Anolis sagrei: one gene and its partners. The protein of the gene in region 3 interacts with the protein of the main gene of each other region in a pairwise test. Links are inferred from orthologs where the notes say so. Each region holds a gene or a part of one and is shown on either strand. Other genes may lie near its edges.

Region 1 (7,500 bases), on a different chromosome or scaffold from region 3:
AAAGAGGGAAGATTGGCCACAGCAACACGTGGTGGGTCAAGGTTGTTATTTCTATTATTATTATTATTATGCTATTGTTCCTCTGAGACCCTTTTAGGGGGAATGGGAGAGGTGTCAGGTCCCGGAGGCAATGCATTGCATTATTGTTATTGTTATGATGGTGGTGAAATAAAAGGAAATAAAAAGTGAAAGAAGGAAGCAAACAGGGAGGGAAGAAAGGCAAAGGAAGAAAGGGGGAGGGAATGAAGGAAAGAGAGAAGGATGAAACCAAGTAGTGAAAGAAGGAAAGAAAGAAAGAGGTAGAGAAGGAAGAAAGGAGAGAAAGGGGGAGGAAAAGGGGGAAGGAATAGGTAGGGACCTCTCTTTCATAATAGTCCAGATATCTACCTCAACTTTGATAAGTTTTACTATAGGCCACAGCAACGCGTGGCAGGGCACAGCTAGTGTACCTATAAAGGTGAGGAGAGGGGAATGTAGTCACTTTTGCTCATATAGGGCAAACACTCCCCCTGCTGGTTAGACACCTCTGACTTCTTCCTGGTAGAAACTGAATTAGTACACAATCACATAGTAATAGAACAAGCGCTACAATGAATGGCATAGTTCTGTACATTTCCTTAGATGGGATACACAATGTCCTTAAAAGGGAATTTCCACTAGGAGGCAAATGGGCGGTAACATTTAAAATTAACAAAATCCACATGCAATGGCACAATCAGGATTCTAAATCACAACAACAACAACAACAACAACAACAACAATTTTATTCTTGTAATATTCTAAATTTCAAACCTGTTGTCCATCTTTGATGCCAAGTTTCTCTGCTAGCTGTCTGTTTATTTCAACAATGTTGCCACTACACTGACGACAATGCCTGATTTCTGTCCAGCCCAGGAACACAGTCTGATTGTCCCAGGAAGTTTTCACAGCTTGATCCTGTTAATTCCATTTAAAATGAGAGAAAGGAGAGGGAGTAACAGCATGCATCACTCATTATTCTTTGTCTGACATCAACAAGTGGCTACAGATACAGTACTTTTGTAACTTGAGTCTATGAATGCTTATCGTAAGGGCATTAGCCTCCTAGCTCCACGCTCAGATTGTCACACTTTCCCTTGGCTCTATGTAGGAATTTGTTGCACTTAGGAATCATTAGTCCGAACCCATCATTTGTTGTTCAGCCATGATGTTGTTTGATTATGATGTTTTTATTTGTTTTTGCTGTTGTTGATGATTATATTTATATGCTTGTTCTAACCTGTTTTGGTGGGCATGTCCCCTTGTGCACTGCCTCGAGTCCCTTCAGGGCGATGGAGTTATTACTTTTATTATTATTATTATTATTATTATTATTATTATCTATAGAGTATTAACATTTCCCAGATGTTAATGTTTCAGAAGAGTTTCTGCTTCCTTGTTTTCTCTGAACCTTTTCCTTGCAGATTCTTTCTGTCAAAAAGATCCCCCATAAGTGTTTTCTTTGCTGTTTTAATTGTGATATTTTACTTGTATATTGCTTTCCCAGATGCAGCGTAACAGGCAAATATGGAACTATGGAATGACTTGACGATGGGACTGGAAAATGACTTTAGTAAGAAGATGCTGATGATTTATGTTTTTATTGCTTTTATATGGTTTTTATATTATATGCTAAATGTTTTTAACTGTATTTTACGTCTGGTGGGGCATCGAATTATTGCCGACTGCAAACCGCCTTGAGTCACTTTCGGGCTGAGAAGGGCAGTATACAAATCATAGAATCATAAAGTCACAGTGTTGGAAGAGACCTCGTGGGTCATCCAGCCCAACCCCCTGCCAAGAAGCAGGAAAATAGCATTCAAAGAACCCCCGACAGATGGCCATCCAGCCTGTTTAAAAGCCTCCAAAGAAGAAACCACCATGACACTCCGGGGCAGAGAGTTCCACTGCTGAACAGCTTTCACCGTAAATAAATAAATAAATAAATGAGACAGTGAAACGCTGCCCCTCTTTTCTCACTCTCATGCAGTCCATAGGCACCAAGGGACATTTTTAAATTCTTCCAGTCTCTAAAATTTTAGGGATCATAAACTACTATTGGTTAGTTTGGTTGCAACAGTGCACTTGAAACTTTGTTGTGGGATTGGGAGCAGAAAACCATCTCACTTCATGATCCTTTGTTTTGGACTAAGAGGAGGGCGACTAAAATTATCAAGGGTCTAAAGAACAAACCCTATGAGGAGTGGCTTAAAGAGCTGGGCATGTTTAGCCTTCAGAAGAGAAGGCTAAGAGGTGACATGATGACCATGTATAAATAAGTGAGGGAAGTCATAGGGAGGAGGGAGCAAGCTTGTTTTCCGCTGTCCTGTAGACTAGGATGTGGAACAATGGCGGAAAGGAGATTCCACCTGAACATTAGGAAGACCTTTCTGACTGTGAGAGCTGTTCAGCAGTGGAACTCTCTGCCCCAGAGTGTGGTGGAGGCACCTTCTTTGAAGACTTTCAAGCAGAGACTGGATAGCCATCTGTTGGGGGGCAGGGGGGTGGACTGGGTGGCCCATGAGGTCTCTTCCAACTCTATGATTCTATGACTTTACACTGAAATAATAACAATATTATAGAACTAGTGTGGCCTGTTTTTGGAAATGTTAGAGAATTGCATTGCTCTGTGCAGTACTGTCATGAATGACTTTTCAATAACTTTGAAGCATAGGTTCTTTTTATTGCAATTTCCAGTGTAAGAAGGTATATCAGATTACAGAAAAACATTTAGACAAAGAATGACATTAGACATACAGATTCTATGCAACTACATTGGATTCATAACTACATGGCTAACAAACAAAGGGAATTACATTTTCACTCAGCATTCACACCACATGCACACACATTCATCCTCATGCACCCAAATATTACCATATAATTTTCTCCCTCCTTGGAGAAGCACCTGTTAGGCCAGACCCTGCTTTCCTGCAGCCTGCCAATACATAGTTCCATAACCGCATTGAGTCGCCGATTTAGGCTGAAAAATGCGGTATAAAAATAAAGCAAATAAATAATAAATAACACCAAAACGTCTTTTCCTAAGAACAATGCCAAGAACCAGATCTCTGTTTTCAATACAGCAGAACCTGCCTCCCTGCACAAAACCTAAGACTCCAAAAGCACACTTCTTCCTCTTCCCTTGAGAAAGAAGCCCCAAAGTGACCAGACTGCTCCCGTTCAAATCTGCCACTATCCATTGGTTCACTATCTCTCTCCTTCCCATGGAGCAGAGCACAGCGGGTGAACCAGATTCGTCAGGTTGGTCACAATTTGATCATTATTAGACTGAGTCTTTTGTAGGAATATTCTGTTGATGTAGTCCCAAAGTTGTAAATTAATGATAGATGTCTTCCATCCTGGATCCATCTCAGTTTCCTGGCCAGATGTTGACTCTTCTTGATTGGCGATGGCAACCACAGGGCTTGTGTTGAATTCCTTCTTAACATAAGGAAGATTGCAAACATTTCCTTTATCAATGTCCCAGTTCTTATCAGGGTTTCTCACTAGCAAGTCCAGCAAGCAAGTAGTTAGTCATTGCAGGCCTGGGTCTTTTACTGGTATTTCCAAAATTATTAACTCCATACATCCTTCCATTCATTCCCACACATCATATTAAATTCATATTTGTCAAATCTGCACATTGAATTTCTTATGACAGTACAACTAGTAAAGCATGAACGTAGAATACTCTTAAGGCGGGCCTGGGCCAACTTGGGCCCTTGGGGTTAGCGGCTGAGGGGGGAAAGGAAAGGGCCTGAGGCTGTTAGGAATGGTGGGAGTTGAAGTCCAAAACACCCAAGGGCCCAAGTTGGCCCAAGCCTGCTAAAGAGTTGCTATAAATAGGAAACCAAAGCTCACTACGAGGAGGCAAGGACCACGGCTAGGCCTTTCCTGTTGCCAGGCAACGAGATGCCAGGCTAGGAAGGAGGCTGCCCAAAAGAGAGGCCCGGATGTCACCTCAGGGACACGGAAAGCGAAGTCCCGGATGCAGCCTCCCCGTCCCTGCCCTCCTGTACCTGCTGCAGACGGAGGCTGGAAGCCAAGCCAGGCGGCAGGTGCAGGAAGCAGTCCCGGGCGCCGCTCAAGGAGACAGTGGCGGCGGCGGCGGCCACCCCAGGCCCGCCCGCCCCCCACATGGCGGCCTCCAAGGCGGGCTGGGTGTCACACGAGTGGGCCGCCGAGCTCCTCTTCCGGCTTCTCCGCTCAGGCCAATGACATCCAGAGGACTCCTTCCAGCCCGTCGCTTGTGATTGGCTTTGCTCCGCTCCGGGGGAGGAGCCAATGAAAGCGGGCCATCCGATTGGTGGTCTGTGACAGAATGATGTTTACAACTTGCCTCCCGTTCCTCGCTTGTGATTGGCTGGGGCGCTTCACCCCCCCATCTAATCCTTTCCTCCAATACCGCTCGCCTCTGGGGCGGGATCAACGCAAGCTCATCACTGGATTGGTTGTTGTTGACGGGCGGAAGAAGCCGGAGCATGAGCGGGTCGGAGGGAAAAAATGGCGACTGAGAAGAGCAGAGGCGGTGAAGTCGGGGGCGCCCACCAGCACCACGCGCAGCTGGGCATCTGCGCTTCGCGGGCCAAGTATCGCGAGGGGCGCCGTCCCCGCGCTGTGAAGGTGAAACGCCATCCATTCTACGCGCAGCACAGCCACACCGAAGCATTGGAGCGGTTTGGCACCGCTTTCGTTGGCATGGCTCAAGGCGATGGGATCATGGGAGTTGTAGTTGGCACTAGAATTGAATTTTATCTCTCACACAAGACTACAAACCCCAGAATTCTGTAGCACTAAGCCATGGGGGTTAAAGCGGTGTCAAACTGTTATATCTCTGCAGTATGCTTGCGCCCCTAATTTCTAAATGTAGTGTTTACTAATCCCTGGCCTTCCCAAGTTAGAATCATAGAGTTGGAAGAGGCCTCCTGGGCCATCCAGTCCAACCCCCTGCCAAGAAGCAGGAATATTGCATTCAAAGCACCCCCGACAGATGGCCATCTAGCCTCTGTTTAAAAGCTTCCAAAGAAGGAGCCTCCACCACACTCTGGGGCAGAGAGTTCCACTGCTGAACGGCTCTCACAGTCAGGAAGTTCTTCCTCATGTTCAGATGGAATCTCCTTTCTTGTAGCTTGAAGCCATTGTTCCGCGTCCTAGTCTCCAGGGCAGCAGAAAACAAGTTCGCTTCCTCCTCCCTATGACTTCATCTCACATATTTATACATGGCTATCATGTCTCCTCTCAGCCTTCTCTTCTTAAGGCTAAACATGCCCAGCTCTTTAAGCCACTCCTCATAGGGCTTGTTCTCCAGAACCTTGATCATTTTAGTCGCCCTCCTCTGGACACATTCCAGGTTGTTAATATCTCTCTTCAATATCTCCCAGAACTGGACACAGTGTTCCAGATGTTGTCTGACCAAGGGAGAATAGCATTACTTCACTGGATCTAGACACTATAGGAAAGGGCCTGAGGCTTTAGGAACTGTGGGAGTTGGACTCCAAAATACCCACAGGGCCAAAGTTTGCCCAGGTCTTCTAAAGAGTTGCTATAAGTGGGAAACGAAAGGTCACTACGAGAAGGCAAGGATAACTGCTAGGCCCTTCCTGTTGCCATGGCAACAAGATGCCAGGCTAGGAAGGAGGCTGCCCAAAAGTTTGCCCATGCCTGGTCTTAGGTCTGGGTATGAATCATGTCCACCGTCTTCACCTTAGCATTAGGATTCAGTGCTATCTGTGTTTTGGTGACTAGCTGTGAGCTGTATCACACTATATGATATTTATTGTTGAAAGTTTTCATGGGTGGAATCACTGGGTTGTTGTTGGTTTTTTCCGGCTATATGGCCATGTTCTAGAAGCATTCCCTCCTGATGTTTCGCCTGCATCTATGGCAAGCATCCTCAGAGGTTGTGAGGTCTGTTGGAACTAGGATATTTATTTATCATATCAAAAGCAAACCGAGGGTACAGCTGTAATGTAATTAAAAAAACAACAGAAGAGTTAAAAAACTTGGCATTATACTGTTAGAGACCCTAATTTGGGACTTAATACTAAGGTCTAGGCCACGGGAGGCGCAAGGAAAGAGGCAGTCCCAGGAGGAAGATCAAAAGCAAAGTTTTATTCTTTCATGATCATGAAGGAGTCGGACAGTCGTGTAGGACACGCGCAGGCGCCCACACTTCATAAGGACTGCCGCGCCTCCTTGACAAAAGCAAAGCTTTTATATAGTCTGGTAAACAAGAGTATTTTTGTCATGGAAAGTTACCCGGTGGCGCAGTGGGTTAAACCCCTGTGCCGGCAGGACTGAAGACCGACAGGTCGCAGGTTCGAATCCAGGGAGAGGCAGATGAGCTCCCTCTGTCGGCTCCAGCTCCTCATGCAGGGACATGAGAGAAGCCTCCCACAAGGAGGATAAAAACATCAAATCATCTGGGCGTCCCCTGGGCAACGTCCTTGCAGACGGCCAATTCTCTCACACCAGAAGTGACTTGCAGTTTCTCAAGTCGCTCCTGACATGACAAACAAACAAACAAAAAGGTGTCTTTACTTCTGCTCCTCTTAGTCTCTCTCCTATCAATAGTTCAAAACATAGGTTTGTGCACTTTGCCTGGTTTCCTGTTGTTCTCAAGGTGTTAGGCTGTCAAAACCACAATTTGTTCTCTACTTGCAGACTTCGGTGTCGCGCCAAACCGCAAACCAATTTCCTATATAGCTGAGCATTTAGCAACTTAATAGTTTTCTTATACTTATTCCTCCTTCAATACTAAATGTCCTTTGACCAGTAGCTGGCCACTTGGAGTACCTCTAGTGTTGCTGTAAAAAGATCCTCCTTTGTGCGTGGGGCAGGACTCAGGCTGCATTGTAATACATGGTCTGTGCTTTGCTCTTCTCCGCACTCGCATGTCATGAACTCCACTTTGTAGCCCCATCTCTTAAGGTTGGCTCTGCACCTCGTGCCAGAGCGCAGTCTGTTCAGTGCCTTCCAGGTTGCCTAATCTTCTGTGTGCCCAGGGGTGAAGTCTCTCATTGGGTATCAGCGGAGGCTTGAGATTCTGGATCTTAGCCTGCCACTTTTGGACTCTTGATTGCTGAAGTGTTCCTGCAAGTATCTCTGTAGATCTTAAAAATTTTCCTTGATTTAGCGTTGGCGTGCTAGTTGATATCTGAACAGAGGATGAGCTGGAGATGTCACTGCCTTGGTCCTTTCATTACTGGCTGCTACTTCCCAGCAGATACGAGATGGTAAAGTACCAGCTAAGCAGTGTAATTTCTCCAGCAGTTCTGGGTGTAGGCGTCCTGTGATAATGCAGCACGTTTCATTAAGAGCCACATCTACTGTTTTAACGTGGTGTGATATATTCCACACTGGGCATGCATATTCAGCAGCAAAGCACAAGGCCATGAGACATGGGAGAAGCCTCCCCGCAGGATTGGGTTTCATAGGGTATAAGTATTACAATTAAAGTGTAATCTTGGTGCTAAATAA
Region 2 (7,818 bases), on a different chromosome or scaffold from region 3:
CCTTCTCTCCTCCCTCCCTTCCCTTTCTCCCTCTCCCTAGTACCTTCCACCCTTTTGTCCTTCCTTCCTTCTCTCTTTCCTCCCCCCCTCTCTCCCTTTCTCCTTTCTCTTTTGTCTTTCCTTCTCTCCTCCCCCCGTTTCCCTCCATTCCCTTCCACCCTTCCTTCCATCTTTCTCTTCCTATCTTTTTTCCTTTTCTTGTTCCTTCCTCCTTTCCTCCTGGGGGATGTTTAGCTGAGAGGAGAGAAGGTAGAATCCCCTTGGGGAAATAGGGCAGGTTATAAATACAGTCTTATTATTATAATAGAGAGAGAACACAAGAGCCATGTTTCAAGATTGAGGAGGAGGGGAAAACTGATTTTCTACTGCTCTAGAGACCAGGACACAAGGGAGCAATGGTTTAAAATGGCAGGGAAAGATATTTGACTGAAAAGAACTTCCTAAGAGTAAGAGCTGTTGGAGAGTAGCATAGGCTGCCTCTGAGTGTGGTGGAGTCTCCTTCTCTGGAGGCTTTTACACAAGGGTTGTCTATTGGGAGTGCTTTGATTGTGCCTTCCTGCATGGCAGGGGGATGGACTGGATGGCCCTTGGGGGTCTCTTTCAGTGCTTGGATTCTATATCAGGAGTAGGCAATACGGGGTCGAATGTATATACTTTTTCTCTCCAGTCCACCATCTCATCCTGACCAAGACCAACCCTTTTGGGATCCAAACGTTTCCTGTCTTTCCTTCACTTTCTGCCTTTGAAAGAGAAGAGGAAGGGGAGGAAAGGGCAGGAAGGGGACTTGGGGAGAACCCCCTTCCTCCTGGCCCACCATGTGGCCCCCAAGTTAGAAAGTTTGCCCATGCCTTCAGTAGTCTCTCAGTCAATCTGAAGCCAAGCAACTGGAACTCTCAAGCAACTGGCAAAAAAAAAGTCAAAAAACTAAAACATCAAATGTAAAAAGCTGTTTTTATAATATAGTAAAATACTAAAACTGTGTTACGTTAAGTTTGTCTTTACTGTTTTAATTTTAATTTCTGCATTTGAATATTAATATCAAATCAATACAAAGTTTATGGTATGGCTTGGCACAACTAGGGATATAGTATCAGTTAGGCCTATTTTGAATAATAATTCTCAAGGAATAAAAAACTATATTTATCTGGCAGCTGCCAATCCCTGTGGTTTCTGGTTAACTGGGAAGCTACTAAATTACGTACCTATTTATCTGAAAGCTGCTGCAATATCTTTAAAGGCTTTTAAACTTTTAAAGAAAAAACACTGTGAGCTACTTCAAGGAGTAAATGTTTAAAAATTAAAAAAAATATGATATATGAACAAGCATTTCCAAACCTCAAACAAAATATAGATCTTAAGGCTAAAAGTTGAGTATTTCCCATGTGTAAAAAAAGAAAAAAAGAAAATAGCCTTCCTGAATATCTTACCAAGGTTTGGCTTGCCTGTGTACAGCTTCTCAGAGAGAAAGCTGTGATCTCTGAAGCTTTGCACTGTGTTCCCCATGGCAATGATGGACACCATAACTAGCCAGCTACGGAGCACATTCAGGAAACGGCTCATCTTGCATCACACAACCTGCTCAGGGGAACAAAGGCAGATTCTGGAGTTCATGATACCACTCTGCATCATAATTCATAGTCACATTAACTATCCTCCACCAAATGTTTGCATACTTATCTCCTAGATCAGTCGACCAAGAGTGGGAATCATTGAATTCCCCAGATGTTGCAGAACTGCAATTCCCAGCATTCCTTACAATTGCTTAAGTTGTTATCACAGCTGGGAATTGCATTGCAGCAACATCTGGAGAACCACAAATGTTCACCTTCAGAATGGACCTTTGGAGGGGGAAAACCACAGTTACATCCACCACTTTCTATAAGGATCACCTAATTAAAAAGATCATGCTCCATAATAAAGACAAAGGACCTCATCACACTAGAGCATGTATCCACTTTAAATCCAGTTTTTGCCTCCTGCAGAATTCTGGGACTTGTAGTTTAGGGGGGGGGCTTTACACTGTTCAGCCAGACACGTCCTGGGCCTCACTAAACTACAAACCCCAGAATTCTGCAGGAGGTGGATTTAAGGTGGATCCATGCTCTGGTGTGATGAGGCTGAAAGACAGAAACCTTATATCTCATCTACTGAGATATTGGCATGAGGTTAGTTACTGAATTGTCTCTGGTACCATTTCTGTACTGACCTAATTTGGGGGGAGGCGTAGCAGAAGCAACATTCAAAAATGCACACAGAGGACTAGTTGCACATCAATGTTGCTAATTCATTTGTTTTATCCCTGCACTCAGGTAGGATACATCTACTCTCTCGACTTAATACACTTTGACAGCACTTTAACTTTCATGGCTCAATGCTATAGAATCATGGGAGTTGTAGTTTTATGAGGTCTTCATTCATCTCTATCAAAGAATGCTGTTATCTCAACCAAACTACACCTTTCAGGATACCAATGCATTGAGCAATGGAAGTTAAAGTGGTTTTAAACTGCATTCATTCTATAATGTAGACACACCAATTTTTCAGTGCATAACAGGGGAGGCCAGATAACTAAGAAAAAAGGAAAGTATCAGGCAAGCAGGTGGATTTTTTTTTTTTTTGCTGTTCCTGATAGCCTGTCTCCTATTTTAATTTTAATATAGGAGCACCCACAGGATGCATATTTAGCAATAATGCACTGGAAACTTACTTTTTAAAAAATTGCAATACATCCCAATACAAAGATATTGCATTTTGGCATGCTGGAAACACCTAGCGACCATGATGTCCATCATCCTTGTCAAATGTCATTTTCTCTTGACAACTCTAATATTACCTGCCACCTGTTCCCTAACTTCATAACACCAACCCATCCACAGGGCAGTCCTCCATATGCAGCCCCCCCATCAAGGAATACCTCTATGCCTACCTTGCTCTTTAACAGGTTGTCTACCTGGTTCCCAGAGGCAGCAAGCTTTCCACCCTACCTCCAACCCAAGGAGCTGTAGCCACGCCCCCTTCGCTGCCTGCGCAATGATTGGCCCGCTGTCAGGGTTGTCGTTCTCCTGATTGGTTGTCACCTCCCACTCCAAGTCTTAGCCCCGCGCCACGCGAATGGCTGAACGGATAGGTCAATCAAATATTTTGAAAGCGATTGGGCCGTTGTGACGTCAACACAGAAGGGGCGGTTCGATGAGGCAAATTGCACCACTGCCCTCCCTTCCTGGTTATAAAAGGATATTGGACGGCGCCATATTGGAAGAGGCATGTGGAAATGAATGAGGGGGGATTGGATAGGTGCGCATGCGCAACTGGGGAAAGCGCCTCGGGCGGGAGTGAGGAGCCTGCGCTTGCGCAGACGCGCCTTCGATGAGGGAGCGAGCGAGGGAGGGAGGAAGGCGGTTGCTGGTTGGTTGTTGTAGTAACAGAGCGAAGCGCCGGCAAGAGGAGCCGCGGCTGCCGGGCCCTCCAGGGAGATGAAGCCGCAGGTAAGGGCGCCACGGGCTTCAGGAGCGGCAGAGTGGGCACTCACCCTCGGGAGGCTCCCAGGAGGAGGGCAGCAGGCGGTGTCTCCTACTCCCTCAAAGGTCCTGGGCCTGTCCTGAGGGGGGAACGGGGAGCAGCCTGCTTTGGCCCAGAAGAGAGAGGCCGCTCAGGGACACGGCAACACGGGCGGGAGGGGGAAGCGACTTGGTTGGACTACAACTCCCAGAATCCCCAAGTCCCCACGCTAGATTCAGTATCTATAGTGTTTATTTATTATTTATTTATTTACTTTGATTATATACCGCTGTATCTCAAGCCCGAAGGCGACTCACGGCGGTTCACAAACAGTAAAAACAGTAGAAACAGCAGTGGTTCCATACAACATATAACAATTGACTTAACACATTATCCATAAATTACCAATAAGCAATTACAATGCACAATTATTACAAAAAACAACCGTACCCAATCTTCTCATCATCCAAGCGTAGTCCAGGTTCGTCGTCCATTGTTCCATTCCTATGTTCCATTACCAGATTGCACTAAATTACTCAAACGCCTGCACAAACATCCAGGTCTTCACCTTTTTGCGGAATACCATTAGAGATGGTGCTAGTCTAATGTCCGTAGGAAGGGCGTTCCACAGGCGAGGAGCCACCACCGAGAAGGCCCTATCTCTCGTCCCCGCCAGCCAAGCTTGAGAAGCAGGCGGGATCGAGAGCAGGGTCTCCCCGGAAGATCTCAAACTCCTGGTGGGTTCATAGGCAGAGATGCGGTCAGATAGGTAGCTTGGGCCGGAACCGTTTAGGGCTTTAAAGGCCAACGCCAGCACTTTGAATTCAGCCCGGTAGCAGATCGGTAGCCAGTGGAGTTGGCGCAACAGGGGGGTTGTATGCTCCCTGCGCTCCGCTCCTGTTAAAATCATGGCTGCCGAGTGTTGGACTAGTTGGAGCTTCCGAGCTGTCTTCAAAGGCAACCCCACGTAGAGAGCGTTGCAGTAGTCTAAACGGGATGTAACCAGAGCGTGGACTACTGTGGCCAAGTCAGACTTCCCAAGGTATGGGCGCAGCTGGCGCACAAGCTTTAGCTGTGCAAATGCTCCCCTGGTCACCGCCGAAACCTGGGGTTCCAGGCTCAGCGATGAGTCCAGGGTCATACCCAAGCTGCGAACCTGCATCTTCAGGGGGAGTGCGGCCCCATCCAACACGTGTTTAACATAGATTTAACATAGATCAAGTGTTTAACATAGATTTCAAATTATGTAAACAAAACACAGTATAACCCAGGCATGGGCAAACGTGGGCCCTCCAGGTATATTGGACTCCAACTCCCACAATTCCTAACAGCCGGTAGGAAAAGTGTTCCTGCCATACATCAAGGGAACCACTGACCGCATAGGGAAACTGATGAGGAAACACAACATACAAACAATCTACAAATCTCACTGTACACTGTCTTCTTTGTTGTTGTTCACCGCCCCGAGTCGCCTTCGGGCTGAGAGGGGCGGTCAATAAATGCAAGAAATAAATAAATAATAAATAATACAAACCCACCAAGAAAATCCAACAAATGCTACGTTCAGCAAAGGACAAGAGGGATCCTCTCACCTCTGCAGGAGTCTACCGTATACCATGCAGCTGTGGACAAGTCTACATAGGGACCACCAAACGCAGCGCCCAGACACGCATCAAGGAACATGAAAGGCACTGCAGACTACTTCAACCAGAGAAGTCAGCTATAGCAGAGCACCTGATGAACCAGCCTGGACACAGCATATTATTTGAGAACACAAAAATGCTGGACCACTCTCACATCCACCATGCCAGACTACACAGGGAAGCCATTGAAATCCACAAACATGTGGACAATTTCAACAGAAAGGAAGAAACCATGAAAATGAACAAAATCAGGCTACCAGTATTAAAAAATTCTAAAATTGCAACACCAAAAAAGAGAGAAAAACAGGCAGGGACATCTAATCACCTTTCAAGAAGAGTTTGCTCCAGGCACAGTCAGCCCATTGTATGCTAATCAAGGTGGTCAGTTGAAAGATTCACACCTAGCCCAAACTTACAAAAGCCCTGTGTCTCACCCTGGTCATTCCACAGATATATAAACCCCTTTTTTCCCCAGTTCCAGCAGACCTCACCTCTGAGGATGCTTGCCATACATGCAGGCGAAACGTCAGGAGAAATGCCTCTAGAACATGGCCATATAGCCCGAAAAAACCCACAAGAACTGAGCTGGTAGGAATTGTGGGAGTTGAAGTCCAAAACACCTGGAGGGCCCAAGTTTGCCCATGCCTGATATAACCACACTTGGTCTCTCCAGGTGTTTTGGACTTCAGCTCCCACAGTTCCTAACAGCCTGTAGGAAATGTTAATCATTTCCACTACCTTGGCAGCCACCTCTCCACAAAAGTCAACATTGACACTGAAATACAACACCGCCTGAGCTCTGCGAGTGCAGGTTTTTTTCCGAATGAAGCAGAGAGTGTTTGAGGGCCGGGACATCCGTAGGGATACCAAGGTGCTTGTTTATAAAGTTATTGTCTTCTCAACCCTGCTATACACCTGCGAGACATGGACTGTCTACAGAAGTCACATGCAACTCTTGGAACGATTCCATCAGCGCTGCCTCCGGAAAATCCTGCAAATCTCTTGGGAAGACAAGCGGACAAATGTCATCGTGTTGGAAGAAGCAAATACTGCCAGCATTGTAACCCGGGACCGAAGGCTGGAGACCTCAGTACACTATACCTGGGACGTCGACCTCTTCCACCGAGCGCGCAGCTTCGGGAGGGACGCACATGGAGGTGAGGGAGGAAGGGGACACCTGCCTAGCCAGCCAGATCAGCCGAATCAACCCTGGCGATCAGTGGGGTGACAGATGTCGCAGCCAGATCGCCCTCACATCCCTGCCAGCATCGAAGCAATGGTCCTCCGCCATCAACTCTGCTGGACCGGCCATGTTGTCCGGATGCCTGACCACCATCTCCCAAAGCAGTTGCTCTGCTCTGAACTCAAGAACAGAAAATGGAATGTTGGTGGGCAGGAAAAGAAATTTAAAGATGGGCTCAAAGCCAATCTTAAAAATTCTGGCATAGACACTGAGAACTGAGAAGCTCCAGCCCTTGAGCGCTCCAACTGGAGTCAGCTGTGACCAGCAGTGCTGTAGAATTTGAAGAGGCATGAATGGAGGGCAAAAGAGGGAAGCGTCCCAAGAGGAAGGCGTGTCAAGCCAACCCCTTCAGGACCGCCTTCCACCTGGAAACCAATACCCTCACTGCGGGAGAAGATGCAGATCAAGAATAGGGCTCCACAGTCACCTACGGAGCCACCGCCAGTACACTGATCATGGGAGACTATCCTATTCGGAAAACAAGGGATCGCCTAAATCAAAATGAAATGATAGGAATTGTGAGAGTTGAAGTCCAAAACACCTGGAGGGCGCAAGTTTGCCCATGCCTGCTCTAGCAACTATTAAACACACATTCTACACTCCCGCCATCTCCCTCCACCAATATACATACATATCTGAGAGTGACATGGTTTTAAAATGTGATTTTCTAGTGATTGCAATTCACAGGTGTCTTGTTTTCAAAGAGGCCTTGCTTGCCAGAAATTGCTGATGCTTAGAAAATGCTGCCACAGAGAGAAGTTCACTACCTCTACTCATTACTCACCTCACTACCTCTGAGGATGCTTGCCATAGATGCAGGCGAAATGTCAGGAGAGAATGCCTCTAGAACATGGCCATATAGCCCGAAAAAACCTACAACAACCTAGTGATTTCGGCCATGAAAGCCTTTGACAATACAGAGAAGTTATTATTGTCTATGTTTTCCATGGCTCAATGATACAAGTTGCTAGATAATACTGCACACCCTCCCTCCTTAATTTCTCACAGGCATGTAGAGAAACACCAAACAAGTAGATAAGTTGACCTGTGGCTCCACAGCTCAGGGTCAGACATTTAAACTGTACTATTGTTATAGGCGTCTGCTGTTGGAAAGATAGAAGAACCAAGGAGATTCCATAATTGTCAGCTAAGGCCAATGAGATGATTGATTTCTGTATACCAATCAAACTGTGCCTTCTGTTTTTAATGAGAGTCATAAATATTAATGTAAACTAACTTTAGGTAGGACAAACTCTTTGATCACATTCTCATGTGCGTGTTTGTCACTATTGCTGTTGTTGTTGTTGTTCATTCGTTCAGTCGTCTCCGACTCTTCGTGACCTCATGGACCAGCCCACGCCAGAGCTCCCTGTCGGTCGTCACCACCCCCAGCTCCTTCAAGGTCAGTCCAGTCACTTCAAGGATGCCATCCAT
Region 3 (7,464 bases):
ACAACATACATGTATTTTGTACCCACGGTTGTTTTTTGATCAAGCAAAAAGAATTACATTTGAATTTTCTTTCTGTTAAGGTGAACTGTATATACAATGCCTTTAGCGCCTCACCTGTCATGCGTGGAAACTCCATTGACACTGTAGCGCATGTCCTTCGCGTACTTGATCAACAGGCACTTGTACTGCGCAATCTGGAAACGTCGGACTCTGCGCATGAGTTCGGTACTGCAAAAACAAGAAGGGAGGCTACTCAGGAGTACTTAGCACCCAGAGGAGGAGGACTGAAGCACAAAACTAGTGACTTTGATCACCCTGCCTCAAAAAACCCATAATGCCTGCTATCTCCCCAAATCGATCTCCCTGCCAGGCCCTTTGATTAACGGCATTCCTTACAATTTTACCATCAGAGAAACAGCAACATTATAGGTCTGGACAAGGCATGGGCAAACTTGGGCCCTCCAGGTGTTTTGGACTTCAACTCCCACAATTCCTAACAGCCTAACAGCCTTTAAGAATTGTGGAAGTTGGTCCAAAACACCTGGAAGGCCCAAGTTTACCTGTGCCTGGACTCTGAACATGTGAGTCCAGGCACACAGTCCAATCCCAGCTTTATAAGAAAGATAGGCAATTATTGCTATTTTCTGGTTTCCCCCCTTTCCTTACAGTTTCCATCAGCCTACCCAGCAGTAAGGAATTTGGGGAGTTTTAGTCCAAAATAACCAAATATAAAGGACACCAGTTACCTGTCCCTGCATTACAGGAAAGAAAGTGCATAGCCAGTGAAATAAAAGTAGAGTCATGGCTGACCTTCCTGGGAACAAAGATGCCACCAAGTGTGGCTCAAAACACACTCTGGCACATATCTTAACAAATATATAATCCATCAAGATATGCTTTGGTTCCTTTTTGCCTAGGTTTCTATATCACAGCCAGTTTATAGACTTGCCTTTCCCATATCAGTTTCCTCCAAATAGTTTGAACTTCTGGGTTGCTGTGAGTTTTCCTGGCCATACGGCCATGTTCCAGAAGCATTCTCTCCTGACATTTCACCCACATCTATGACAGGCATTCTCAGAAGTTGTGAAGTCTGTTGGAAACTAGGCAAGTGGGGTTTATATATCTGCAGAATAATGTCCCGGGTGGGAGAAAGAACCCTTGTCTGCTTGCGCAAGTGTGAATATTGCAATTGGCCACCTTGATTAGCATTAAATAGCATTGCAGCCTCAAGGCTGCTTCCTGCCAGGCCTTGAGGCTGCAAGGCTATGTAATGCTAATCAAGGTGGCCAATTGCAACATTCACACTTGCCTCACTTGGAGGTGTTACCTCACCCTGATTGAATCTTATCTGGAATTCCCCTCTTTTGTTAGTGTTCTTCTTTATCTACTGCCCTGATTTTGGAGTTTTTAAGTATAGTTAGCCAGATTTTTTTTTCATTTGCATGGTTTCCTCCTTTCTGTTGAAATTGTCCACCTGTTACTGAATTTCAGCAGCTTCTCTGTGTAGCCTGACATGGTGGTCGTTAGAGTGGAGGAAACTATGAAAATTTTTAAAAAAACTCTAAAATCAGGACAGCAAATAAAGAGCAACACCTACAAAGCAGGGGAATACCAGGCAGGAATTCCAGCTAACACCTCCCAACAAAGGCTCCCCCAGGCAGTAAGCAGCCAGGCTTTGAAGCTGAAAGGCCATTCAGTGCAAATCAAGGTAGCCAATTGCAACATTCACACTTGCCTCCAACAGACAGGCGTTCTTTCTCCAACTCTGAACATTATTCTAGATATATAAACCCCACTTGCCAAATTTCCAACAGACCTTACAACCAATGAGGGTGCTTGCCATAAATGCAGGTGAAACATCAGAAGAGTATGCTTCTGGAACGTGGCTAGAAAACTCACAGCAACCCAGTGATTCCGTCCATGAAAGCCTTCGACAACAGTTTGAACTTCCATTCCCAATGCTCCTATCAGGAATATAGGGAGCTGTAATCCAAAAAACCTGGACTTTACCACCTTCTGTGGCATTTTATGAAAGTGCAGGCAAGAACTATCTAGTCCAACTTCTGCTGTGCAGGAATTCACAGTTAAAGCTCACTGAGGCTGGATCTACATTATATGATCAGAATAGAACCATACAATGCAGTTTAATGTAGTTAAACCACATTATTTGGGTCTATACTAGGCATGGGCAAACTTTGACCCTCCAGGTAGTTTGGACTTCAACTCCCACAATTCCTAACAGCCTACTGGCTGTTAGGAATTGTGGGAGTTGAAGTCCAAAACACCTGGAGGGTCAAAGTTTGCCCATGCCTGGTATATATTGACCATGCAATGAAATTCCAAACTGCATTAGATGGCAGTGTAGATCCAGCCTGAGGGATTATCATGAGAACACTAGTAAATGTAATTGATAGTACTTGAACATGTAATGAAACCAGAACCCAAGTCACAGTTGTGTTCAGATACATGTTCATTTCATCTCTCTAACATACCTTTTCCCGGAGAACATGGGTCCAAAGATGACCTAAAGTGGGGAAAGAGAGAAAAAAACCGTGTTGAATTTTACCCCGTTCGTGTATTAGTTGGTCCTCCTTATCCACGGTTTCTGTATCCACTGATTTCCCCATCCACGGCTTGAAAATATAAAACCAGTCACAAAAAAAGGATGCCTTGATTTTCCCAACGTTATATAAAGGACACAATTTCCCCACTCCATTGTCTATAAAGCCCCTGACCCATAATTGCAGACCCTGCATCCCAAACTCTCATTGACCCCCCTGCCCTCCCCAGAAATATCTCCTTTTCCTACCTGGATCTGGCCCCGGGCCTTGCGAGGCGACCCCGGCTGCACCCCTGGCATCATCAAGCAGTTCATCTTCCCAAATCCCGCCGGTGTTTCAAGGCACAGACGCTTGAATCAACAGCCTCTCCTTTCAGCGCGCCGTTTTTGCCCTCTTTTATAGCCGGCGCTGACAATGGACCAATCAGAACGGGCCCTGGCACCAAACTGGCGCTCGAAAGACACTTCGGCGCGTCCTGGCCAATCACAGGCCAGGCGGGAAAAAACTACATTCGAAGTGGTTGACCGCCTTCGCCTCCAGAAGCTAAAGAGGGAAGTCTTCCTCCTCTCATGTTTTGCTGATTGGGGAAGAGGCATACACACACACTTCCGGAACTAGTCTTTTGAAACTCTTTGGTCTTATCAAAACGTCATTTTCTCCTTTGTTTGCGGAGACTTTCATCTTCATAGAATGAAACAGCTTGACCCCCGGCTCAATACCATGGAATCCTGGGAGCTGTAGTTTTCCAAGGCCTTAGCCTTTCCTGCCAAACTACAAATCACACTATTCCTTAGTAGTTAAAGTGGTTTGCAGTTTCTCAAGTCGCTCCTCACACGAAAAAAAATATTAAAGTGGGTTCAAAGCCTAAAATGTATTGTCGAAGGCTTTCATGGCCGGAATCACTGGGTTGTTGTAGGTTTTTCCGGATTATATGGCCATGTTCTAGAGGCATTTTCTCCTGACGTTTCGCCTGCATCTATGGCAAGCATCCTCAGAGGTAGTGAGGTCTGTTGAAAATACTAAACTGGGTTTATATATCTGTGGAAAGACCAGGGTGGGACAAAGGACTTTTGTCTGCTGGAGCTAGGTGTGAATGTTTCAACTGAATGTTTCAACTTGATTGGCATTGAATGGCTTGGAAGTGCTACACAGACTACACAGATAAGCCATTGAAATCCACAAGCATGTGGACAATTTCAACAGAAAGGAAGAAACCATGAAAATGAACAAAATCTGGCTACCAGTATTAAAAAACTCAAAAATTACAACAGCAAAACAGCAGAGAGTAAACAACCAGGCACATCAAATCACTCTCAACAAAAGATTCCCCCCAGGCACTTCCAAGCCATTAAATGCTAATAAAGGTGGTCAGCTGAAATATTCATGTAGGGGACCCCCTGCTTGGGGTCCTTGCTGAGTCCGTCACAGAGGGCAGCAAAATGAAGAGAGTCTAGTCTCCAGAGGTAAAGCAGAAAATCTCTTTATTTCAAGTGTGGCCACACAGGGAGAAACAGCCCAGACAGACCAGTGTCTTCAAAGAGAGCTGTCTCTGATATTTGGATATTTCAGTCTCCTTATATACATGTCTTTTCACTGTGTCATGGGCACACACCTCTCTTATCGGATCAACCATTCAAAAACATGTTTTTCTCATATTTTGCCACTTCAGTGTCTTTCACTGCTAACCTTCTACAAACTACGTAAACACACACATTATTGTTACAGATAAGCATTTTGGGTGTTAACCCACCCTGAGTACTCTCTAGGCGAACTTGACAATACAGTATCTTGTGTCTTCCAGATTCATTATCTCCTCTTAGCTTTTGGTCTTCTGCAGGCCAGAGGAGAGGCACAAACCCCTCTCTAGGTTTGCATTTTAGAATTTCAACATTTCTGAGTTCTGTTAGCCCCTTCACTCCTCCATTATTTTTTTTTTTGCGAAAGCTGATCATACAGAAGCTGAAGCAAGATCAATATCTAGTTATAACATTTTTATGATACCCCAGCATTCTTGTAATCACCACCAATTGCCACGAAGTGGGAACCGCACTTGTGGTGAACTTATCACACATCTTCATGATGATGGGAAAATACATCAAGGAGAGCTCTCGTGCACACACACATTCATTCATACTCATGCACACACAGGCCTTCTCCGGCAAAGATGATCAGTCTTTTCTGAGGAAGCGTGGACACTCCATTGCTGCAGTTCAGGAAGCATGGAGATTGTCAGGGGTCCCCTGCATTTATAGGCCAAAATCCATTTTTCTTCATTTCAACAGCAGGTTGCTCTGTCCTCTTACTAAAGGACAATATGTCTTTGTTCTCTCCAAAGTTCAAGACATTAGCATTCCAGGCCTCATGACTTATGGGGTACCTCCTGCACTCCTTACATGCTCGGCCGCATACCTCATTGTCCATTGTTGTTCAGTTATGCCTTGCTGCCTCCTCGCTTCGACTGCCAAGTTCATCCCATATCATGCCTTGCGAGAACTCCATGTTGGTTTTTCTTCAGGCCTGTTTCTTCTCTTTTCCATGCATTCAAACATTCATTCCTCACATATTCCTCCCCTTGATACATAAATGCTAATTTATCGTATCACATACATGATCCATACATGATAAGCAATTCAGTGTTGGTTATACTTATAATCAAACTTGATTAAGTGTAGAGTACATATGTTTAGGTTAATATTGAACTTGTATGATTAATCAAACATCATAGTTCATAAATGTGTTTCTAAACACGTTAACTTGTTTTCAAATATAGATAATCGATTTGTCAATCCTGTCATTTGTCTAAGAGGCCATAAGATCCAAATGATTGGCAGCAATATAAGTATCCCTATCCATACTATTAAATGTATCCTATGAAGATATCATACCAGTGGTGTTCTGTGTTTCCACCAATATAAATCATTAGGTGATATAGCACATAGGCATTACATTCCATTGTCATATACCATTGTTTTGGGCTTTAGCTTTTGTAACCTGCAGATTGCATCTGCCATTTCCAATGCACATGGTTCAACTTGTTTTACTGTTAAAGGACATACATATCCCATTTATTGCATCTATCAATATCAATTATTTCATTCAAATTTGTATATTTGGACCTTGTGCATATGGTTTTCTTGGATAACAAATATGGAACCCAGAACCATTTTCCCACATGCATAGGCATAGGAACTATATCACAAACCAAATTTTTTTCAAATATTGACCATTTTTCCCAAGGTTTCCAGTTTCAATCTTAGTATATCATCTTCCCAAGAATATTTGACAAGCTTACTCCATCCTTTATAATCTGTTCTTAACCAATAATGTAATTTTGTTAATTCTAGGAAGGCTTCTGAGTGTCCTCCCATTATTAACATCAACATTTTTCTCTCCAATCTCTCAAATTTATTTCCATAGTCAAACAACTCATAGACTTACTTATTTGTTGTAAGGTTTCATTTTTAGCTTTCATTAAAGCAACCAAGGAATGATTCAGCTGGTCAAATATACTTAATTGCAATCCGGCAGTAATCCCATGTACCAAAGCTGTACTTCTCTATTTGAAGCTCAATATTCTTCATCCGTTGTATTCTGTGTCTTTCCTTCTATCACTTGGTTGATCTGATTCAAAACATCATTTCATCCTTATTTTTTCTATACCCTTTATACAATAAATCTTACACTTTATACCATATATTGCTTTCATTTGTGTTAGAGCAATTGTTCTTTACCAGTCATGTATTATTATTATTATTATTATTATTATTATTGCACTCCTTAAAAACTATAAAACACAAACAATACATATATTTACTGTTCCAATTAATAGTCCAATTGCAATTTTTTTCATAAGCTTTGCATCCTTTTAATTGGTGGCCAGTTGCATTCCTGTTTAGAAACCAAATAAAGGGGGATATGATAGCCATGTATAAATATGTGAGAGGAAGCCACAGGGAGGAGGGAGCAAGCTTGTTTTCTGCTTCCCTGGAGACTAGGACGTGGAACAATGGCTTCAAACTACAAGAAAGGAGATTCCATCTGAACATGAGGAAGAACTTCCTGACTGTGAGAGCCGTTCAGCAGTGGAACTCTCTGCCCCGGAGTGTGGTGGAGGCTCCTTCTTTGGAGGCTTTTAAGCAGAGGCTGGATGGCCATCTGTCAGGGGTGATTTGAATGCAATATACCTGCTTCTTGGCAGGGGGTTGGACTGGATGGCCCCTGAGGTCTCCTCCAACTCTTTGATTCTATGATTCTATGATTCTATGAAAACTGTTAATTAACTTGCACAGCTTTCCAAGTTTTTCCTGGTTCGGATGAACCCACTTCTATTTATCATTAGCCTGTAATCAATAAGGATGAGGATCTTCTGCTCAAAACTGCAAACACTTTATGAAAACTATCATCAATAAGAGTGAGACTAAATAAAATCTAAAATTACATATATCATGAATGACTTTTCAATGATTTTAAAGCATAGGTTCTTTTTAGTGCAATTTCCAGTGTGTGAAGGTATATAAGATTACAGAAAACATTTAGACAAAGAATGACATTGGACATACAGACATACAGATTCTATGCAACTACATTGGATTCACAATTACATTGGTTAACAAACAAACCAGAGGTTCCCAAAAGACATCACGGCTCTGTTTCACCATTGCCTCACCACCAGTTACTTTCAGTGGGACAATGAATTCTACGAACAGAAAGATGGAGTAGCTATAGGGAGCCCTCTCAGCCCGGTCATAGCTAACTTCTACATGGAACACTTTGAAAAACAAGCCCTGGAGACAGCAACCAAAAAGCCCACGATATGGTTCAGATATGTGGATGACACCTTCACCATTTGGAGCCATAGAGAAGAAGAACTCAAACGGGTTCCTGGACCATCTTAACAGCATCC
Region 4 (7,011 bases), about 69 Mb from region 3:
TACAGTGCTGTGTGGAAGGGCCCCAAGTTACAATGCTGTGTGGAAGGGCCCTTAGATAATCCAGTTCAAAGCAGATATTGTGGAATTTTCTACCTTGATAATTCTGGGGTACAGTGCTGTGTGGAAGGGCCCTTAAATAATCCAGTTCAAAGCAGATATTGTGGAATTTTCTGCCTTGATATTCTGGGATATAGGGATGTGTGGAAGTGCCCTAAGGCTGTCTTTCACATAAAACCAGCCATCACTGACTGCAGGTAGAGAAGAGGTTAAAAACCCTCACATTTGCAGGATGGCAACACTTTCAGAGCCCTACAATTGCAAGAAATTGAAAGTTTTTGGGTGGACTAGGCACTATTTTTCTGAGGATGGTTTTGTGTCTGAATTCAAAGAGCTTCTTTGCATGACAAGTGAAATCTGACTATGCTTTTGATGGCCTTTCAAGGCCTTCCTTTGAAAGGCGAAACTCACCACTGCCAGATCTAAGGGGCAAGGCAACATGTGGGAAGGCTTGGATTTCCCCTACTAGATCAGCGTTAACATTTCTCTTGGCAGCAAGTGCATCTGCTTGTAAAGCTTCCCCGCAGGGTTGCTTTGAAGGTGCCTCACAGCCTTGCAACCGGAGATCCTGGAGACGCCAAGCTTGAGCTACATACATGCAAAGCATGCCTCCTGCCAGTGGTTTGCGGTGTGTGTGTGTATGTGTTTGCAGGCGATGTTACTGGGAGCAGCATTGAGATACATGCCCTCCCTTTCCCGCAGCACCCTCTCAGGGAACCTTTCCCTTTGGCACCCGCAGCTCCTGCCACAGAAAGGTCAGGCACTAACTTTAGCTTCTCTCCCAGGCACCAGAGATGTGGCAGCCTGATCTGGTTACAGCTTTGAGTCTCCCGCACATCGCAAGCAGAAGGTCACACATTCTTGGGTGGACCTTTCCATAGGCTTTCTGGGATGGGGGAAGGAAGGAAGGAGAAAAAGTTCTCAAGTCCCTGCGGCTAGGGCTGCTTCCTGCCGGCTGTGACTCAGCAGCCCAGCTCCGGAAAGTCAGTAAGTAAATGAGTCACCAGCCCTTTTGCTCTTCTCCACGTGTTTTCCCTGCCCCAGAAGTAGGCAAAAGGAAATGGAGGGAGCCAGGAAGATGGGGATTAAAAGGTGGACCGTTTGTTTAAGTGGGCAGCTGTTGCACAGGGCAAAAGGAGAAGAAGGGGACTTCTCTTGGAAGAAAACAGCTGCAGGGTCCCTTTGAGAGGGGGAGAGACACAAGAGGTGACCTTGAGATGTCCTTGTGAGGGACAGAAGGCAGCACTGTCTGCCGGCCAAGAACAGGAGGGAGGGAGGCTTCCCTATTGGCTGGGAAGGTCTCCAAGGGCTACCCCTCAGAGACAGACGAAGAGGCCTAAGAGAGGGAGGGGCTTCCCCCCTGTCCATCCCAAGTCCTGCCCCTTTCTGCCTGCCATGCCCAGGCTGCCCTCCCGCACGTCGGCCTGCCTTTCCCCTTTCCCCACTCACCCGTTGACTCCGATTTTCACCATCTTGCTTTCTGGAAAAGGTGATTCTGGAGGAGGGGGAAAAAAGAAGAAAAGGGTTCAAACCAAGGATGATTCCCGACAGAGGTTTCCCTAAAGTCTTGAGACAAAGGGCCCTTCCACAGAGCCCTATATCCCAGAATATCAAGGCAGAAAATCCCACATTATCTGAATGTGGACTCAGATAATCCAATTCCAAGCGAATATTATGGGATTTTCTACCATGATATTCTGGGTTATTAGGGCTGTGTGGAAAGGCCCAAACCCTCCAAGGGCTCCCTCTCTCCAAAGGCTCTTCCACACAGCCCTAGAACCCAGAATATCACAGGAAATCCCATATTATCTGAGTTTCAAGCAGATCTTGTGGTATTTTCTGCCTTGATATTCAGGGATATAGGGTGGTCTGAAAGAGCCCAAACTCTACAAGAGCTCTTTCTCCCCAAAGGCTCTTCCACACAGCCCTATAACCCAGAATATCACAGGAAATCTCATCTGAGTGCGGACTCAGATAACCCAATTCCAAGCAGATCTTGTGGGATTTTCTGCCTTGATATTAATGGATATAGGGCTGTGTGGAAGGGCCCAAACTCTCCAAGGGCTTCCTCTTTCCAAAGGCTCTTCTACATAACCCTATAACCCAGAATATCACAGGAAATCTCACATTATCTGAGTGTGGACTCAGATAACCCAGGTCCAAGCAGATCTTGTGGAATTTTCTGCCTTGATATTAATGGATATAGCGCTGTGTGGAAGGGACCAGACTATCCAAAGGCTCTTCCCCACAGCCCTATATCCCAGAATATCAAGGCAGGAAATCCCATAAGATCTCCATCGAACTGGTTATCTGCGTCCACGCTGCCATATACTCCAGTTCAAAGCAAAAAAACGTGGGATTTCCTGCCTTGATATTCTGAATTATTGGGCTGTGTGGAAGAGCCTTTGGGGAGAGGGAGCCCTTGAAGAGTTTGGGCCCTTCCACAGCCTTATATCCCTATATTCTGCTGTATGGAAGAGGCTCAAAAGATAAAACTTTCCCTAAAGTTAGAGAGGGGCTCTCTAGATGGGGAAACTTTGCAGCCACCGCCACGCCCCTATTCGGAGGCTCCTAGAGGGGAAATGAACCCACCCCACCCCTTCTAGAAGGAAGGAAGGAAGCCTCACTTCCTGGAAGGCGATCAGCCCCAACTGGGCGCCTGAAACTTGTTGCAACTTTGTCCTCGCGCTCTTGACTCAATCTAGGCACTGCCTGCCCTCCTTTTGGGGCCCCTCTTTCTTCTCAGGCCGTACCCCGACCCCTATCACTGTGCGAGCCCTGGCTTTGGGGGGATCCCTAGGAGGGTCCAGGCCTCCCTCCCTCTGGTTTCCCTGCTTCTCCCCTTGGCCTTACCCTTGGGATCCTGGCCGAACTCAGCTCTGCGGTGCAGTGAGGAGGTGAAGCAGGAAAGGGGCCCTCGGTCGGGGCCTTTATAGAGTTGGCTGAGGAAAAGGAGGGGCCCGGCTCTGCCGAATCAGGGCCCGAAGGCGCAGCCCCAAATCACAGCTCCAGCCTCCTCCCCGCCCCTTCTTGCCTTCCCTACCCCACACCCCTTTCCTGGCCCAAAGGCCCTCCTCCCTCCCTTCTCCCTCCTTCCCTCCCAGGCTCACCCCTTTCGCCCCACATCGCCCCTTTGTTTCTTTATAGAAAGGCAGACTTCCCACTTCGGGGGCCTCCATGGGAGCCCCTTTTCCGAGGCTGCTAATGGGGGTGGACTGACTCCCCTTATTGCCATGGCTATCGATACTCAGGAAGGAAAGGTGCCCTTCGCCTCGGCTTAGCTCACCCCTTTGTCTACAAAGTTGGAGTCAATAGTAAAGGTTTTCCCCTGACATTAAGTCCAGTCATGTCTGGCTCTGGAGGTTGGTGCTCATCTCCATTTCTAAGCTGAATAGCCGGCATTGTCCATAGACACCTCCAAGGTCATGTGGCCAGCATGACTACATGGAGCGCCGTTACCTTCCCGCTGGAGTGGTACCTATTGATCTACTCACCAAAGAGCCAGTGTTGTCCATAGAAAACTCCAAAGGTCATGTGGCCAGCATGACTACATGTAGTGCCATTACCTTCCCGCTAGAGTGGTACCTATTGATCTACTCACTGAAGAGCCGCGTTGTCCATAGACACCTCCAAAGGTCATGTGGCCAGCATGACTACATGGAGCGCCGTTACTTTCCCGCTGGAGTGGTACATATTGATCTATGCACCGAAGAGCCAGGGTTGTCCATAGACACCTCTAAAGGTCATGTGGCCAGTATGACTACATGGAGCGCCGTTACCTTCCCGCTGGTACCTATTCATCTACTCACCGAAGAGCCGGCGTTGTCCATAGGCAAGGTAATGTGGCCGGCATGACTACATGGACCACTGTTACCTTCCTGCTGGAGTGGTACCTATTGATCTACTCACATTTGCATATTTTCAAACAGGTAAACTGGCAGAAGTTGGGGCTGACACCCAAAGCTCACGCCGCTCTCCAGATTCGAACCTGCGACCTTTTGGTCAACAAGCTCAGCAACTCAGCGGTTTAACCCACTACGCCACCGGGAGCTCCAGTTAGAGTCATAGAATCACATTATCCTAGAGTTGGAAGAGACCTCAGGAGCCATCCAATTCAACCTCTTACCAAGGAAGCAGGGAAATCGCATTCAAAGCACCCCTGACAGATGGCTACCCAGCCTCTGTTTAAAAACCTCCAAAGAAAGAGCTGCCACTACCCCCCTAGGCAGAGAGTTCCACTGCTGAACAGCTCTCTGAGGGCTCTTCCACACAACCCTGTATCCCAGAATATCAAAGCAGAAAATACCACATTATCTGAGTGTGCTCTCAGGGCCCTTCCACACAGTCCTGTATCTCATAATATCAAAGCAGAAAATCCCACATTATCTGAGTTTGAACTCAGATAACCCAGGTCAAAGCAGTTATTCTGGGATTTTTAGCCTTGTTATTCTGGGATATAGGACTGTGTGGAAGTGTTCACTGTTAGGAAGTTCTTCCTAATGTTCAGGTGGAATCTCCTTTCCTGTAGTTTGAAGTCACTGCTCCACGTCGTAGTCTCCAGGGAAGCAGAGTCTGTCAAAAACTTCTCAGTTTGGCAGAATCAGATAAAGTATCTGACCTTGTTAAAGAAAACAAATTGATACAAAGCTTTCAAGAGAATTGGCAGCCATTTCCACACTGCCCCTATATCCCAGGATCTGATCCCAAATTATCTTGTTATCCCAGATTATCTGCCAGTGGAGACTCATCTAATCCAGTTTAAAGCAGACAACCTGGAATCAGATCCTGCAATATAAGACAGTGTGGAAAGGGCCTATATATGTAACATTTTTTTTGTTGGGTTAAAAATTTCATTTTTCACTTGGTTCTATCATAAGAACACAGAAAAAGCTTATGAAACTCCAAAAAACTTTTGTTTTTGTGGGACACTCTGCATCACATTTTGCTCTAGGGCCCTTCCACACAGCCCTATAACCCTGAATATCAGGCAGAAAATCCCACAATATTTGAGTGTGGACTCAGGGCCCTTCCACACAGCCCTATATCCCAGAATATCAAGGCAGAAAATCCTACAATATCTACTTTGAACTGGGTTACCTGAGTCCACACTGCCATATATCCCAGTTCAAAGCAGAAAATGTGGGAATTTATTCAGCTCTCTGGAAGGGGCCCTGGTTTTTTCAACGAATACCTCATAAAATCTCAACCAATTCAAGTTTGTGGCAGTTTCTGGAGGATAACAGCTACTTTAAAGGAAGTACCGCACAATTAAACAGGAAATAACCCTTTCAAACCAGGAAGATACATTTTATCAAATGTTGTTACATAGTATAACAATATTGTTACCTGCCTCTCCTTGTGGATACAGCAGGATGAAAACGGAGAGATGAAACACAACACTATTATAATACATATAACACAATGCATAGGAACCCCTGGTGGTACAGCCAGTCAAACTGCTGAACTTCTGAACTTAATGACTGAAAGGTCAGCAGTTCAAATCCAGTGATGGGATGAGCTCCCGCTGTTAGCCCCAGCGTCTGCCAACCTAGCAGTTTGAAAATATGCAAATGTGAGTAAATCAATAGGTACCATTTCAGCAGGAAGGGAATGACACTCCATGCAGTCATGCTGACCACATGACCTTAGAGGCATCTATGGACAACACCAACTCTTCAGCTTAGAAATGGAGATGAGCAACACTCCCCAGACTCAGACACAACTAGATTTAATGTCAAGGGGAAACCTTTACCTTTAACAGAATACACATGTAATAATCACAATAATAAATATATAGCTAATAATAAACACATAATAACTTAATAATAAATACCTACATAATAACAATAATAAATGGGTCCACACTGCTATATAATGCAGAGGCGCTACATTTCAATACACTTCACTTTCTGAAGGAAACTTTTACACTTTGAGGCCTTCAGCATCAGCAAAAGAAGCCGAGGGCCAGGCATTTTTCCCACAACCCCTTCTTTTGTTAAAAACTCAACCAAGGGGAAGTCCTCCCATCCCTCCAAGAGTGATGTCAGCGGTTGCCAGGGTAACAAGTGGAAATTATTTGGGGGGTGGTGAGGTTGGAAGTAGTTCTCTTGACCTGCTCTATTAACTCTGCTATCTATTTATTGTGTCAGAAGCGAATTGAGGATACAGTTATAATGTATTAAACAAAATACAAACAAAGTTAAAAACTTGATATCATACTAGATTTCTTTTGACCAGAAGCTGGCCACTCGGAGTGCCTCTGGTGTTGCTGTAAGAAGGTCCTGCAATGTGTATGTGGCAGTGCTCAGGCTGCATTGTAGAATGTTTGCTTTTCTCCACACGCGCATGTTGTGGACTCCACTTTGTAGCCCCATTTCTTAAGACTGGCTTTGCATTTCGTAGTGCCAGAGCACAGCCTGCTCAGTGCCTTTCAAGTCGCCCAGTCTACTGTATGCCCGGGGGGGGGGGGGGGAGTTTCTGATTCAGTTTCTGCCACTGATTGAGGTTTCGGGTTTTAGCCTGCCACTTTTGGACTCTTGAAGTATGGAACCCTGTGCAGACGGTCAGTCAATGTGCAGTCATTGAATTATTGACAGCATAGGTATCACCCCAAAGGAGATTGCAAGCTGTTTATGGTGATTGTATTGATGTGAGTACTGTACGTCGTTCGGTGAATAAGTTTAAAGATGTTGAGGTGGGAACATCTGACTTGAGTGACAAACAAAGAGTTGGACGTCCTGTGACAGCAACCACTGAGTTTCCCAAGCAAAAGGTTGACAGATTGATTCAGGACGATCGTCGTATCACTCAGAGAGAAATTTCAAGCATAATAGGCATTTCGCAAGCATAGGATGCTTGCCATAGATGCAGGCAAAACGTCAGGAGAGAATGCCTCTAGAACATGGCCATAGAGCCCGAAAAAAACCTACAGCAACCCAGTGAATAGTGGTAGTT

The links.
Region 1: the proteins of TK1 (region 3) and RBM48 interact in a two-hybrid assay, tested with the Homo sapiens proteins (2 studies listed by BioGRID and IntAct). The link is inferred for Anolis sagrei from reciprocal best matches to the Homo sapiens genes TK1 and RBM48.
Region 2: the proteins of TK1 (region 3) and ERG28 interact in a two-hybrid assay, tested with the Homo sapiens proteins (2 studies listed by BioGRID and IntAct). The link is inferred for Anolis sagrei from reciprocal best matches to the Homo sapiens genes TK1 and ERG28.
Region 4: the proteins of TK1 (region 3) and GAPDH interact in a two-hybrid assay, tested with the Homo sapiens proteins (2 studies listed by BioGRID and IntAct). The link is inferred for Anolis sagrei from reciprocal best matches to the Homo sapiens genes TK1 and GAPDH.

What each region holds. Positions count from the first base shown.
Region 1 is NC_090026.1:102,564,788-102,572,287, reverse strand, and holds the start of RBM48 (RNA-binding protein 48), read left to right. Parts: upstream 1-4,495; 5' UTR 4,496-4,524; coding exon 4,525-4,644; intron 4,645-7,500. Other genes in the region: peroxisomal ATPase PEX1, read right to left, coding at 793-936, 4,041-4,160. UniProt on the Homo sapiens protein: As a component of the minor spliceosome, involved in the splicing of U12-type introns in pre-mRNAs.
Region 2 is NC_090021.1:305,424,171-305,431,988, forward strand, and holds the start of ERG28 (ergosterol biosynthetic protein 28 homolog), read right to left. Parts: upstream 3,015-7,818; 5' UTR 2,927-3,014; intron 1,576-2,926; 5' UTR 1,561-1,575; coding exon 1,428-1,560; intron 1-1,427.
Region 3 is NC_090022.1:128,418,846-128,426,309, forward strand, and holds the start of TK1 (thymidine kinase, cytosolic), read right to left. Parts: upstream 3,008-7,464; 5' UTR 2,876-3,007; coding exon 2,810-2,875; intron 2,525-2,809; coding exon 2,493-2,524; intron 229-2,492; coding exon 115-228; intron 1-114. UniProt on the Homo sapiens protein: Cell-cycle-regulated enzyme of importance in nucleotide metabolism. Catalyzes the first enzymatic step in the salvage pathway converting thymidine into thymidine monophosphate.
Region 4 is NC_090022.1:197,266,917-197,273,927, reverse strand, and holds the start of GAPDH (glyceraldehyde-3-phosphate dehydrogenase), read right to left. Parts: upstream 3,018-7,011; 5' UTR 2,911-3,017; intron 1,553-2,910; 5' UTR 1,530-1,552; coding exon 1,507-1,529; intron 1,045-1,506; exon of another isoform or gene 782-1,044; intron 1-781. UniProt on the Homo sapiens protein: Has both glyceraldehyde-3-phosphate dehydrogenase and nitrosylase activities, thereby playing a role in glycolysis and nuclear functions, respectively.